3 linked regions of the Saccharomyces cerevisiae S288C genome follow. Changing the gene in region 1 together with any one later gene gives a genetic interaction. Each region holds a gene or a part of one and is shown in the gene's direction. Other genes may lie near its edges.

Region 1 (3,267 bases):
AGCCAGGATGCTTCGATATGAGCACCATTATCTTCTATTTGAGCGAACAAACAAAGATGAACGAGCATTACAAGGAAGAAAAGTATCATGGTGTCGCCGCCAGATCCAAGACAAGGGCGTTGGTCCAAAGACTTGGCCATTTTTTACCCTCCAAATATAACAGGTGGAGCAAAATTTCTTTACTTATCGGGATTGTAGCTATCCTGTACCAATTACGGACTACAAGGTCGTTGAGTTTAGTACTCAATCTACGTTACATGATCTCCACAAAGTTGAAAGACTTATCACATATAAATATAAATTTGCACCACGTTAGTCACATCTGGGTGGATCCGATTAGGGACATTTTGAAACTGGGGCATCCAACTAGATAGCATACAATATACCTTATATACCCATGACATAGAAACAAACTCATATGTAAGGTATTATTATAAAGTGCTTCTTTAAAATTCGCTGCGGAAATTTCTTCGAGGATGACTCAAATAAGAAAAAACGAAAATTCTGAAAGAGAGATTTTTAGTATGGAGAAAACCAGTACTCCTGCATAAGATATCAAGATATTAGATAACTCTCAAGATGGTTTCCCAATTTGCTATTGAGGTGCGTAACCTAACGTACAAATTCAAAGAAAGCTCCGATCCGTCAGTTGTTGATATCAATCTTCAAATCCCATGGAATACAAGATCTTTAGTTGTGGGTGCCAATGGTGCTGGTAAATCCACCCTTTTGAAATTACTAAGCGGTAAGCATCTTTGCCTTGATGGAAAAATCCTGGTCAATGGTCTTGATCCATTCAGTCCATTATCTATGAATCAAGTGGACGATGATGAAAGTGTTGAAGATTCGACGAACTACCAAACGACCACTTATCTAGGTACGGAATGGTGCCATATGAGTATCATTAATAGGGATATCGGCGTCTTGGAACTATTAAAAAGTATTGGATTCGATCATTTTAGGGAAAGAGGTGAAAGATTGGTTAGAATCCTGGACATCGATGTACGTTGGAGAATGCACAGGTTAAGTGATGGACAAAAGAGAAGAGTTCAGTTAGCCATGGGGCTCTTGAAACCTTGGAGAGTTTTACTACTTGATGAGGTCACTGTGGATCTCGATGTTATTGCCAGAGCAAGACTTCTGGAGTTTTTAAAGTGGGAGACCGAAACCAGAAGATGCTCAGTGGTCTACGCTACACATATTTTTGACGGCTTGGCCAAATGGCCTAACCAAGTATACCATATGAAATCAGGTAAGATTGTGGATAATTTAGATTATCAGAAAGACGTAGAGTTCTCTGAAGTGGTCAATGCTAAAGTTAATGGACAAGTGGCCTTTGAAAATGACAACAATAAGGTTGTTATTAGTAAAGTGAATAGTTTGCATCCATTAGCACTAGAATGGTTGAAACGTGATAATCAAATTCCTGACAAAGAGATTGGTATATAACTGAGTATATATAACTGCAAAGACCCCCTGTATAGAAAATATGTATCTTAGTGGAAAATGTGATTTGACTATTTAAGTTATAGAAGTAGTTTGTGATCCTAAAAAAAGGAAAACGACAGAAGTCTCATAGAAGCAAAGAGGCCAGATGAAGAAGAGAGGCAACAAAATTCACGCCCATCTTAATGAAACTGGATAGTATAGACATTACACACTGTCAGTTGGTCAAATCTACTAGAACTGCTAGGATTTATAGGTCGGATACATATGCCATTAAATGTCTAGCACTAGATTTCGATATCCCGCCACATAACGCCAAATTCGAAGTATCGATATTAAACAAACTGGGCAACAAATGTAAGCACATCTTACCTCTTCTAGAGTCTAAGGCTACCGATAATAATGACCTATTGTTGTTGTTTCCCTTTGAAGAGATGAACCTTTATGAGTTCATGCAAATGCACTATAAAAGAGATAGAAGAAAAAAAAATCCCTATTACGATTTGCTAAATCCCAGTATCCCAATTGTTGCGGACCCCCCCGTTCAGAAATATACTAATCAATTGGACGTCAATCGGTATTCTTTGTCCTTTTTCCGGCAAATGGTTGAAGGGATTGCATTCTTACATGAGAACAAGATCATTCACCGCGACATCAAACCGCAAAATATCATGCTAACAAACAATACCAGCACCGTATCCCCAAAGTTGTACATAATTGATTTTGGCATCTCTTATGACATGGCAAATAACTCACAAACAAGTGCGGAACCCATGGATAGCAAGGTGACGGATATAAGCACAGGAATTTACAAGGCCCCAGAAGTGCTTTTTGGAGTAAAATGCTATGATGGTGGCGTGGACGTGTGGTCGTTGTTGATAATTATTTCTCAGTGGTTCCAGAGAGAAACAAGCCGTATGGGGCACGTTCCGGCCATGATTGATGACGGCAGCGACGACATGAACTCAGATGGAAGCGATTTCAGACTGATTTGCTCAATATTCGAAAAGTTGGGCATACCGTCCATTCAGAAATGGGAAGAGGTTGCGCAACACGGCTCGGTTGATGCATTTGTTGGTATGTTTGGTGCAGATGGCGATGGCAAGTATGTACTGGACCAGGAGAAAGATGTACAGATTAGCATTGTTGAGAGGAATATGCCTCGACTGGACGAGATTGCGGATGTCAAAGTCAAGCAGAAGTTCATTAATTGTATCCTGGGGATGGTTTCATTTTCACCAAACGAAAGATGGAGCTGTCAAAGAATCTTGCAAGAATTAGAAAAGCCATAATAAGAAGAATATATAGGTACATATATATATATATATATATATATGAAATGAAAAGTACGAGGGTAATCACTTTTTCCTCTGAAGAGCTAGTTTTATTAAGTCGAAGCAGTTCTTCATGTACGGTAAATTCTTGTTGCAAGCGGTCACACCCATATGTCCAATACGGATATACTTGGGTCCGATGTCCTTGTGAATACCTCCGGCAATGACTACACCGTGTGACTTTAAAAAAGCAATGACATCAGGAGGATCTGCTACGTATACGGCTGTCAACCCGTGCGCAGACATGTTAGAAGGATACCTACTGACGGATGTCAATTGCAAGCCATTAACCAAACTGTCTTTAAACCAATCACTCATTTCACGGTGCAAATCCCATCTCTTATGCAACCCCTCTTCGAGAATTTCTTTCAAGGCTACATCAAGGCTATTAATTAGTTGTACGGGTGGGGTTGCAAAATAAGCTCCTTTACCAGCCTCATAATTTTCCATTATTGGTGTCCATCTTCTCAACGAGGAAAAATACCCA
Region 2 (3,899 bases), on another chromosome or scaffold:
AAGTAAAACTTATTCAATTCAATAAATTTTTTGGTGGCCTGGTAATTCAAAATTTTCTGATAGTTATCCATTAGCGGTTTCAGTTTGAAAGTTGTTGTTCTAATAACCTCGTCGACCTTTTTATTTAAGCTTTCCACATTTATTTGATTTTCTTTTGGTGAATCACATTGGTTTTTTTCATTCGTTTTCTCGTCAAATTCTTTGTAAATTTGGTCTAACTTGTTTTTAATCTTAACATACTTGGTGAAATTTTTACCAACCAATTGTTTCAAATGTATAGATTGGTCTTGTATATCACTGTCCAACCTGTCCAGTGAGTTATTTAGATCATTGAAAGAGTCTTGTTTGTGCATATCTCTCAGAAAGGCTTTGACGTTGAATTGTTTACTGTTGACAAGATAGTTCAACCGCATTGAATCATTTGGTAGATGTTGCAATTCTTTAGACATTTCTTGTCCATTCAAGGGATCTCTAATATAACTTAACGACTCATCGTTTAAATATGCTCTCGATTCCTTGTCAATGCTAATTTGATTGCCATATTTGAAGTCTTTTAATATGTCGAATGACGTTTCAACGCCAAGTTCATTGCTTGTAGCCTCTTCATTATTCAATTTTGAGGAATCTTGGGCCCAGGAATGGGTCGGATTAATAGTCTTCAACTGATAAAAACGAAGTAGTTGCTCGTCGCCAATTTGAAACCTATCCATGGTACCAAACTTTTTTTCGCTACTTTATTTCAACAGAAACTTCTTTCCTAGTTTAGCAGCTTTAACGCAGCTTATTTTTGTTACTTTAGTTGAATAGTAGGAGTTGATACTTTTGTTTTTTCAAGTTGAAAACAGAAACGAAAAATTAAAGAAGCTGCAGATTCAGCATTCATGCCTAAGCTAAAAAGAACTGGCAGCGAAGAACAGAGGAAAGAATAACTGAAACTATGGATTTTGAGGAAGATTACGATGCGGAGTTTGATGATAATCAAGAAGGACAATTAGAAACACCTTTTCCATCGGTTGCGGGAGCCGATGATGGGGACAATGATAATGATGACTCTGTCGCAGAAAACATGAAGAAGAAGCAAAAGAGAGAGGCTGTAGTGGATGATGGGAGTGAAAATGCATTTGGTATACCCGAATTTACAAGAAAAGATAAGACTCTGGAGGAGATTCTAGAGATGATGGACAGTACTCCTCCTATCATTCCCGATGCAGTAATAGACTACTATTTAACCAAAAACGGGTTTAACGTAGCAGATGTACGAGTGAAACGACTTTTAGCACTTGCTACTCAGAAATTTGTTAGTGATATAGCTAAGGATGCCTACGAATATTCCAGGATCAGGTCTTCCGTAGCGGTATCTAATGCTAACAACAGTCAGGCGAGAGCTAGGCAGCTATTGCAAGGACAGCAACAGCCTGGCGTGCAGCAGATTTCACAACAACAACATCAACAGAATGAGAAGACTACAGCAAGCAAAGTTGTTCTGACGGTGAACGATCTCAGTAGCGCTGTTGCTGAATACGGGCTCAATATAGGTCGCCCAGACTTTTATCGTTAGTGGCTAACAAATGGAAATGAAATATGTATATAGTGTAGCAGTATGCAACTCTTTTAAATACACGATTCGTTATTAGATTGATTAGAGCACTTATTCACGCAAATTTGACACGCTTTTTGAACATCCGTTTTTCACGATTTTTTACTGAAGGATCATGAAAGATTGCCACATAAGAGAACACCTCCGTTGCACCAACACTTCATCACGATAAAAAAACTATCGAGCTATCGTACTACGGAACAACTACATAAGTCAAAAATGGCCATTGATTACTCTAAGTGGGATAAAATTGAACTATCAGATGATTCTGATGTCGAGGTGCATCCTAATGTGGACAAGAAATCGTTCATTAAATGGAAACAACAGAGTATCCATGAACAGCGATTCAAAAGGAACCAAGATATCAAAAATTTGGAGACACAAGTGGATATGTATTCTCATTTGAACAAACGAGTGGACAGAATTTTGAGTAATTTACCTGAAAGTTCTCTTACTGATTTGCCAGCCGTTACCAAATTCTTGAATGCAAATTTTGATAAGATGGAGAAAAGTAAAGGGGAAAATGTTGATCCTGAGATTGCAACATACAATGAAATGGTTGAAGATCTTTTTGAACAATTAGCAAAAGATTTAGACAAAGAGGGCAAAGACTCGAAGAGCCCATCTCTCATAAGGGATGCTATTTTGAAACATAGGGCTAAGATCGATTCAGTAACTGTAGAGGCTAAGAAGAAATTAGATGAATTATACAAGGAGAAAAATGCACACATTTCATCTGAAGACATTCATACAGGCTTTGATAGTAGCTTTATGAACAAGCAAAAGGGGGGGGCTAAGCCACTGGAAGCAACTCCTTCAGAAGCTCTTTCGAGCGCTGCAGAGTCTAATATTCTTAATAAACTAGCAAAATCATCAGTTCCGCAAACTTTCATCGATTTTAAAGATGATCCTATGAAACTGGCCAAGGAAACTGAAGAATTCGGTAAAATATCCATTAATGAGTACTCAAAATCTCAGAAATTCTTACTGGAGCACTTACCTATTATTTCAGAACAACAAAAGGACGCCTTAATGATGAAGGCCTTTGAGTATCAGTTACATGGTGACGATAAGATGACTTTGCAAGTCATTCATCAATCCGAATTGATGGCCTACATTAAGGAAATCTACGACATGAAGAAAATTCCATATTTAAATCCAATGGAACTATCAAATGTCATTAATATGTTTTTCGAGAAGGTTATCTTCAACAAGGACAAGCCAATGGGTAAAGAGTCTTTTTTGAGATCAGTTCAAGAAAAATTTTTGCACATTCAAAAACGTTCCAAAATTTTACAACAAGAGGAAATGGATGAATCGAATGCTGAAGGAGTAGAGACGATTCAATTGAAATCTCTAGATGATTCTACAGAATTAGAAGTAAACTTGCCAGACTTCAATTCTAAAGATCCAGAAGAGATGAAAAAGGTTAAAGTTTTCAAAACTTTAATACCGGAAAAAATGCAAGAAGCCATAATGACCAAAAATTTGGATAATATTAATAAAGTCTTTGAAGATATACCAATTGAAGAGGCTGAGAAACTTTTGGAAGTGTTTAATGACATTGACATTATTGGAATAAAAGCGATCTTAGAAAACGAGAAAGACTTTCAAAGTTTGAAAGATCAATACGAACAGGACCATGAAGACGCCACTATGGAGAATCTGTCCTTAAACGACCGTGATGGTGGCGGAGATAACCATGAAGAGGTCAAACATACTGCCGACACTGTTGACTAGAAATTTATGTAGCTATTTTACTGGTGCAGCGTGCATCTACTTCCTTTTTTATTGTTATTTTCATTTATACATAATACAAAAAAAAAAAAGAAGAAAATTAATGATCAATAAAGAAAATCGTGAAATTACAGCAGAGGTTTTGTACCTGCTTTCCTACGTTAGTACATAATATCTTATTTTTTATTAGTGCATGTTTTTCTCAGTGTGTGTTTTTGTAATTTGTATATACTACACAAAGAATCGGAAGGGTAAAATGTGAAAAATACTGGGTCTTTTGAAATATATTGAACGGGCTAATATATGAAATGAATATGAAAAGAAGAAAAAAATGTGACAAGAAAAAAGTGGTGACAAAAAAGACAAAATAATTATTCAGAGATGATAAACTTAAAGCAAAACTTGGTAACAAACTTTCATTAAAACAAAATATGTATTCTTTTTTCATTTTCATTTTTTTTTTACTGTTTTTTTGTTATTTCATGGAACTGGTAAAGAATTCTTAAGATTTTAAGCTCATTAATAAAAACGCAGCACTATTGTCTTCCCCATTTCTTGGCTGCTG
Region 3 (6,110 bases), on another chromosome or scaffold:
TTTATTGTTTCATTTATGGAAAAGGCTGGTTACAAAAATCTGCCATTACTTGACTTTAGAGTCCCGGGAGTCACCTCAATATCATGTGACACTCATAAATATGGATTTGCACCAAAAGGCTCGTCAGTTATAATGTATAGAAACAGCGACTTACGAATGCATCAGTATTACGTAAATCCTGCTTGGACTGGCGGGTTATATGGCTCTCCTACATTAGCAGGGTCCAGGCCTGGTGCTATTGTCGTAGGTTGTTGGGCCACTATGGTCAACATGGGTGAAAATGGGTACATTGAGTCGTGCCAAGAAATAGTCGGTGCAGCAATGAAGTTTAAAAAATACATCCAGGAAAACATTCCAGACCTGAATATAATGGGCAACCCTAGATATTCAGTCATTTCATTTTCTTCAAAGACCTTGAACATACACGAACTATCTGACAGGTTGTCCAAGAAAGGCTGGCATTTCAATGCCCTACAAAAGCCGGTTGCACTACACATGGCCTTCACGAGATTGAGCGCTCATGTTGTGGATGAGATCTGCGACATTTTACGTACTACCGTGCAAGAGTTGAAGAGCGAATCAAATTCTAAACCATCCCCAGACGGAACTAGCGCTCTATATGGTGTCGCCGGGAGCGTTAAAACTGCTGGCGTTGCAGACAAATTGATTGTGGGATTCCTAGACGCATTATACAAGTTGGGTCCAGGAGAGGATACCGCCACCAAGTAGCTATATAGAATCAAATCTCATACATAATTTAAAGAACGAGAGTGCAATGTGATGATTGTGATTCCTGATCCTATGTCACGGACGACGACTTGTATCACCTTGAATTTTCTGACCAAAGGGGCCGAGTCGCTTCACGAGGGGATGAGAAAGGAAAAGAAGGGAAAACTAAACTTATATAACGCAGGTGTGTCTTTCTACCATTGCCATCAAGTTATTAAAGGCCACGAACAGGAACGCTAGAGACCTGAGTTTGTCATTTGTTTAGTTCAAGGATTAAATAAACAATCCTTCTACAAATAAGTCCTTTCTTTCACCATCGTCTTAAGACCACTGCCTCCAACGAAAACTAACCTAAAAGAGTTTAGATCACGAGTATTTTCGCTCTTTCCCTCCTTCCCCTGGTTTTTTCTCGTTAGTTCTTTTCATTTAAAAACTCTTCTCTTGTCAAGAATTTAAAAGACGAAGAGTCCAACACCGACTGATTTTCTAACAGCAAAGGAACGAAGTTTTGCCGTGCAAACAATAATTTCTAAATTATAATTTTGAGCCTAGCTGAGAAATAGGAGAGATTATATTTTAGAAAGGTAAGAAGTTTTTCTGTCATTCCTTTTAGAATATTTGCTACGTTCTAACATTTTTTGTTACTCAAGCGCATTTTCTGCAACTTCCCTTATAAGCTATTTCCTTTTTTTGGGACCGATCCTTTCTTCTGTCTTTGGTAACCTAAAAACCGGAATAGTCAAAGTTATCTGCATAGTCTTCTTGCCAGGCTTATTTTCGCCATACCATTTTTCTGGTACCCTAAACATTTTGGTCTTATTTTAGAACAGCTGGTGCCTCGTTTTTCCGCATTAGGCGCACTTTTTTCATAGCCACTATTCTAAAAGAAACAACTTTTTTTCAAAGGGAAATCTAAGTTGCCTGCACGAAGAATAAGACAAGGGTTCATAAACGTATAGTATTTGCCAAGTTCCATCTTTTTCTTTGTCACTTTAATATCGCAAAACAGAACACCAAAAACCTTTCAGCGCAAAGATTTGGCCCAATTATTCCATCTTTATACACTATGTCTAAAAATAGCAACGTTAACAACAATAGATCCCAAGAGCCAAATAACATGTTTGTGCAAACCACAGGAGGTGGTAAAAACGCCCCAAAGCAGATTCATGTTGCACACAGACGTTCCCAAAGTGAGTTGACAAATTTGATGATTGAACAATTCACTTTGCAGAAGCAGTTGGAGCAAGTTCAAGCACAGCAGCAACAGTTGATGGCTCAGCAACAGCAATTGGCACAACAGACAGGACAATACCTGTCAGGAAATTCTGGCTCTAACAATCATTTCACGCCTCAACCGCCTCACCCTCATTACAACTCAAACGGTAATTCACCTGGTATGAGTGCAGGTGGCAGCAGAAGTAGAACTCACTCCAGGAACAACTCCGGATATTATCATAATTCATATGATAACAATAACAATAGCAATAATCCTGGGTCTAACTCACACAGAAAGACGAGTTCACAATCCAGCATATATGGCCATTCCAGAAGACATTCTTTAGGTCTAAATGAAGCGAAAAAGGCTGCTGCGGAAGAACAAGCTAAAAGAATATCTGGGGGTGAAGCAGGCGTAACTGTGAAGATAGATTCTGTTCAAGCTGATAGTGGCTCAAATTCTACTACAGAACAATCTGATTTTAAATTTCCACCACCACCAAATGCTCATCAGGGCCATCGTCGCGCAACTTCAAACCTATCACCTCCCTCTTTCAAATTTCCTCCAAACTCTCACGGGGATAATGACGATGAATTCATAGCAACCTCTTCAACGCACCGCCGTTCAAAGACAAGAAACAATGAATATTCTCCAGGCATTAATTCCAACTGGAGAAACCAATCACAGCAACCTCAACAGCAGCTTTCTCCATTCCGCCACAGAGGATCTAATTCAAGGGATTACAATTCCTTCAATACCTTAGAACCTCCTGCGATATTTCAGCAGGGACACAAACATCGTGCCTCTAATTCATCAGTTCATAGTTTCAGTTCACAAGGTAATAATAACGGAGGTGGACGTAAGTCCCTATTTGCACCCTACCTTCCCCAAGCCAACATTCCAGAGCTAATCCAAGAAGGGAGACTAGTAGCTGGTATATTAAGAGTTAATAAAAAGAATAGATCGGATGCCTGGGTCTCTACAGATGGCGCTCTTGATGCGGATATTTACATTTGCGGCTCCAAAGATCGTAATAGAGCACTTGAAGGTGATTTAGTCGCGGTAGAACTATTAGTTGTGGACGATGTTTGGGAGTCCAAGAAAGAAAAGGAAGAAAAGAAGAGGAGAAAGGATGCCTCTATGCAACACGATCTAATTCCTTTGAACAGTAGTGACGATTACCACAACGATGCATCTGTTACTGCTGCAACAAGCAACAATTTTCTATCTTCTCCCTCCTCGTCTGATTCGCTAAGCAAGGATGATTTATCCGTCAGAAGAAAGAGGTCATCTACTATCAATAATGATAGTGATTCCTTATCATCTCCTACCAAATCAGGAGTAAGGAGAAGAAGTTCATTGAAACAACGTCCAACTCAAAAGAAAAATGACGATGTTGAAGTTGAAGGTCAGTCATTGTTATTAGTTGAAGAAGAAGAAATCAACGATAAATATAAGCCACTTTACGCAGGCCATGTCGTTGCTGTTTTGGACCGTATCCCTGGTCAGTTATTTAGCGGTACATTAGGTTTGTTGAGACCATCCCAACAAGCTAATAGCGACAATAACAAACCACCACAAAGCCCAAAAATTGCTTGGTTCAAGCCTACTGATAAGAAGGTGCCATTAATTGCAATTCCTACAGAATTAGCTCCAAAGGACTTTGTTGAAAACGCTGATAAATACTCCGAAAAGTTATTCGTTGCCTCTATTAAACGTTGGCCAATCACATCTTTGCATCCATTTGGTATTTTAGTTTCCGAACTTGGAGATATTCACGATCCTGATACTGAAATTGATTCCATTTTAAGGGATAACAATTTTCTTTCGAATGAATATTTGGATCAAAAAAATCCGCAAAAAGAAAAACCAAGTTTTCAGCCGCTACCATTAACGGCTGAAAGTCTAGAATATAGGAGGAATTTTACGGACACTAATGAGTACAATATCTTTGCAATTTCCGAGCTTGGATGGGTGTCTGAATTTGCCTTACATGTCAGGAATAACGGAAATGGTACCCTAGAGCTGGGTTGTCATGTTGTTGATGTGACCAGCCATATTGAAGAAGGCTCCTCTGTTGATAGGCGTGCGAGAAAGAGGTCCTCTGCGGTGTTCATGCCACAAAAACTTGTCAATTTATTACCACAATCGTTCAACGACGAACTGTCGTTGGCCCCTGGCAAGGAATCAGCCACGCTGTCGGTTGTTTACACTCTAGACTCATCTACTTTAAGGATTAAATCTACTTGGGTAGGCGAATCTACAATTTCCCCCTCAAACATCTTGTCTTTAGAACAATTAGACGAAAAATTATCTACTGGAAGTCCCACTAGCTACCTCTCTACTGTACAGGAAATTGCTAGATCATTTTATGCTAGAAGAATAAATGATCCAGAAGCTACATTACTTCCCACCCTGTCCTTATTGGAAAGCTTGGATGACGAAAAAGTTAAGGTTGACTTGAACATCCTGGATAGAACTTTAGGCTTTGTTGTAATTAATGAGATTAAAAGAAAGGTCAACTCCACTGTTGCAGAGAAAATTTACACCAAACTTGGTGATCTAGCTCTTTTGAGAAGGCAGATGCAACCCATTGCAACCAAGATGGCGTCATTTAGAAAGAAAATTCAAAATTTTGGTTACAATTTTGATACCAATACGGCGGATGAATTAATCAAAGGGGTGCTAAAAATTAAAGATGACGATGTTAGAGTCGGAATTGAAATTTTACTGTTTAAAACCATGCCAAGAGCTAGATACTTTATTGCTGGCAAAGTAGACCCGGACCAATATGGGCATTATGCCTTGAACCTACCTATCTACACACATTTCACAGCGCCAATGAGAAGATACGCTGATCATGTCGTTCATAGGCAATTAAAGGCCGTTATCCACGATACTCCATACACCGAAGATATGGAAGCTTTGAAGATTACCTCCGAATATTGTAATTTTAAAAAGGACTGTGCTTATCAAGCACAGGAACAAGCAATTCATCTATTGTTGTGTAAAACAATCAACGACATGGGAAATACTACAGGACAATTATTAACAATGGCTACTGTCTTACAAGTTTACGAGTCCTCCTTTGATGTATTTATTCCAGAATTTGGTATTGAAAAGAGAGTTCATGGAGATCAACTACCTTTGATCAAAGCTGAGTTTGATGGTACCAATCGTGTCTTGGAATTGCATTGGCAGCCCGGCGTAGATAGTGCAACTTTTATACCAGCAGATGAAAAAAATCCAAAATCCTATAGAAATTCCATTAAGAACAAATTCAGATCCACAGCCGCTGAGATTGCGAATATTGAACTAGATAAAGAAGCGGAATCTGAACCATTGATCAGCGATCCATTGAGTAAGGAACTCAGCGATTTGCATCTAACAGTACCAAATTTAAGGCTACCATCTGCAAGCGACAACAAGCAAAATGCTTTAGAAAAATTCATTTCTACTACTGAAACCAGAATTGAAAATGATAACTATATACAAGAAATACATGAATTGCAAAAGATTCCTATTCTATTGAGAGCTGAGGTGGGGATGGCTTTGCCATGTTTAACCGTCCGTGCATTAAATCCATTCATGAAGAGGGTATAATCTCTTCTACCAATATCGTCATTGCTGTTTTTCTTGTTTTTCACTTTCGTTCTTTGGATTGTGCTTCACCCCTCAGTATCCCTTCCCTTTGTTTTTATTTCCTGCGAACATTAACAACTGCATGAATTTTGTACTTCTCCTTTTAATCCACGTTCCGGTAAGGCATCATCCAAATTTTTTTATTCGACCTCGTTAAGTCATATATTTTTTCCCAAAAATACATAAAACAATAATGCAGCCTTCTTTTCAATATTTACAACTTTTCAATTTATATTGTCTTTTGTTATTTATACTCTTATATATTAAATTTATTCCGTTACTAAATACCCTTTTGCTGTACAAATATCATCAAAGAGAAGTACTGAAAGCTTACTTTTTATGCGCTGGGTAATTTTTCCGGAAACAATAACGAAATCATCGTCGAGCAATTTTGCTCGTACTTCAGAAACTACTGCGTAAACATTTGAGGTCGTACAATAAGTAGATAGAAATAAATAAACCAATTTTTCGTCAGCGTTTAATCTGTAGCCAAAGATTTGTGGTATTCTCACAGTTTGAATAA

The links. Genes that interact genetically often act in the same process or in processes that back each other up.
Region 2: mutations in CAK1 (region 1) and CDC37 are lethal when combined (synthetic lethality), as found in Saccharomyces cerevisiae (2 studies listed by BioGRID, with this or other methods).
Region 3: mutations in CAK1 (region 1) and SSD1 together harm fitness more than expected from each alone (negative genetic interaction), as found in Saccharomyces cerevisiae (3 studies listed by BioGRID).

The regions. Positions count from the first base shown.
Region 1 is NC_001138.5:77,526-80,792, reverse strand, and holds CAK1 (cyclin-dependent protein kinase-activating kinase CAK1), read left to right. Parts: upstream 1-1,631; coding exon 1,632-2,738; downstream 2,739-3,267. Other genes in the region: GTPase-activating protein GYP8, read left to right, coding at 1-374; putative ATP-binding cassette family ATPase CAF16, read left to right, coding at 580-1,449; AGX1 (alanine--glyoxylate transaminase), read right to left, coding at 2,805-3,267.
Region 2 is NC_001136.10:788,512-792,410, forward strand, and holds CDC37 (Hsp90 co-chaperone CDC37), read left to right. Parts: upstream 1-1,816; coding exon 1,817-3,337; downstream 3,338-3,899. Other genes in the region: exocyst subunit SEC5, read right to left, coding at 1-710; TAF10 (Taf10p), read left to right, coding at 938-1,558; STB3 (Stb3p), read right to left, coding at 3,837-3,899. UniProt on the Saccharomyces cerevisiae protein: Co-chaperone that binds to numerous kinases and promotes their interaction with the Hsp90 complex, resulting in stabilization and promotion of their activity.
Region 3 is NC_001136.10:1,045,078-1,051,187, reverse strand, and holds SSD1 (mRNA-binding translational repressor SSD1), read left to right. Parts: upstream 1-1,795; coding exon 1,796-5,548; downstream 5,549-6,110. Other genes in the region: sphinganine-1-phosphate aldolase DPL1, read left to right, coding at 1-729. UniProt on the Saccharomyces cerevisiae protein: Can suppress the lethality due to deletion of SIT4, and partially the defects due to BCY1 disruption. Is implicated in the control of the cell cycle G1 phase.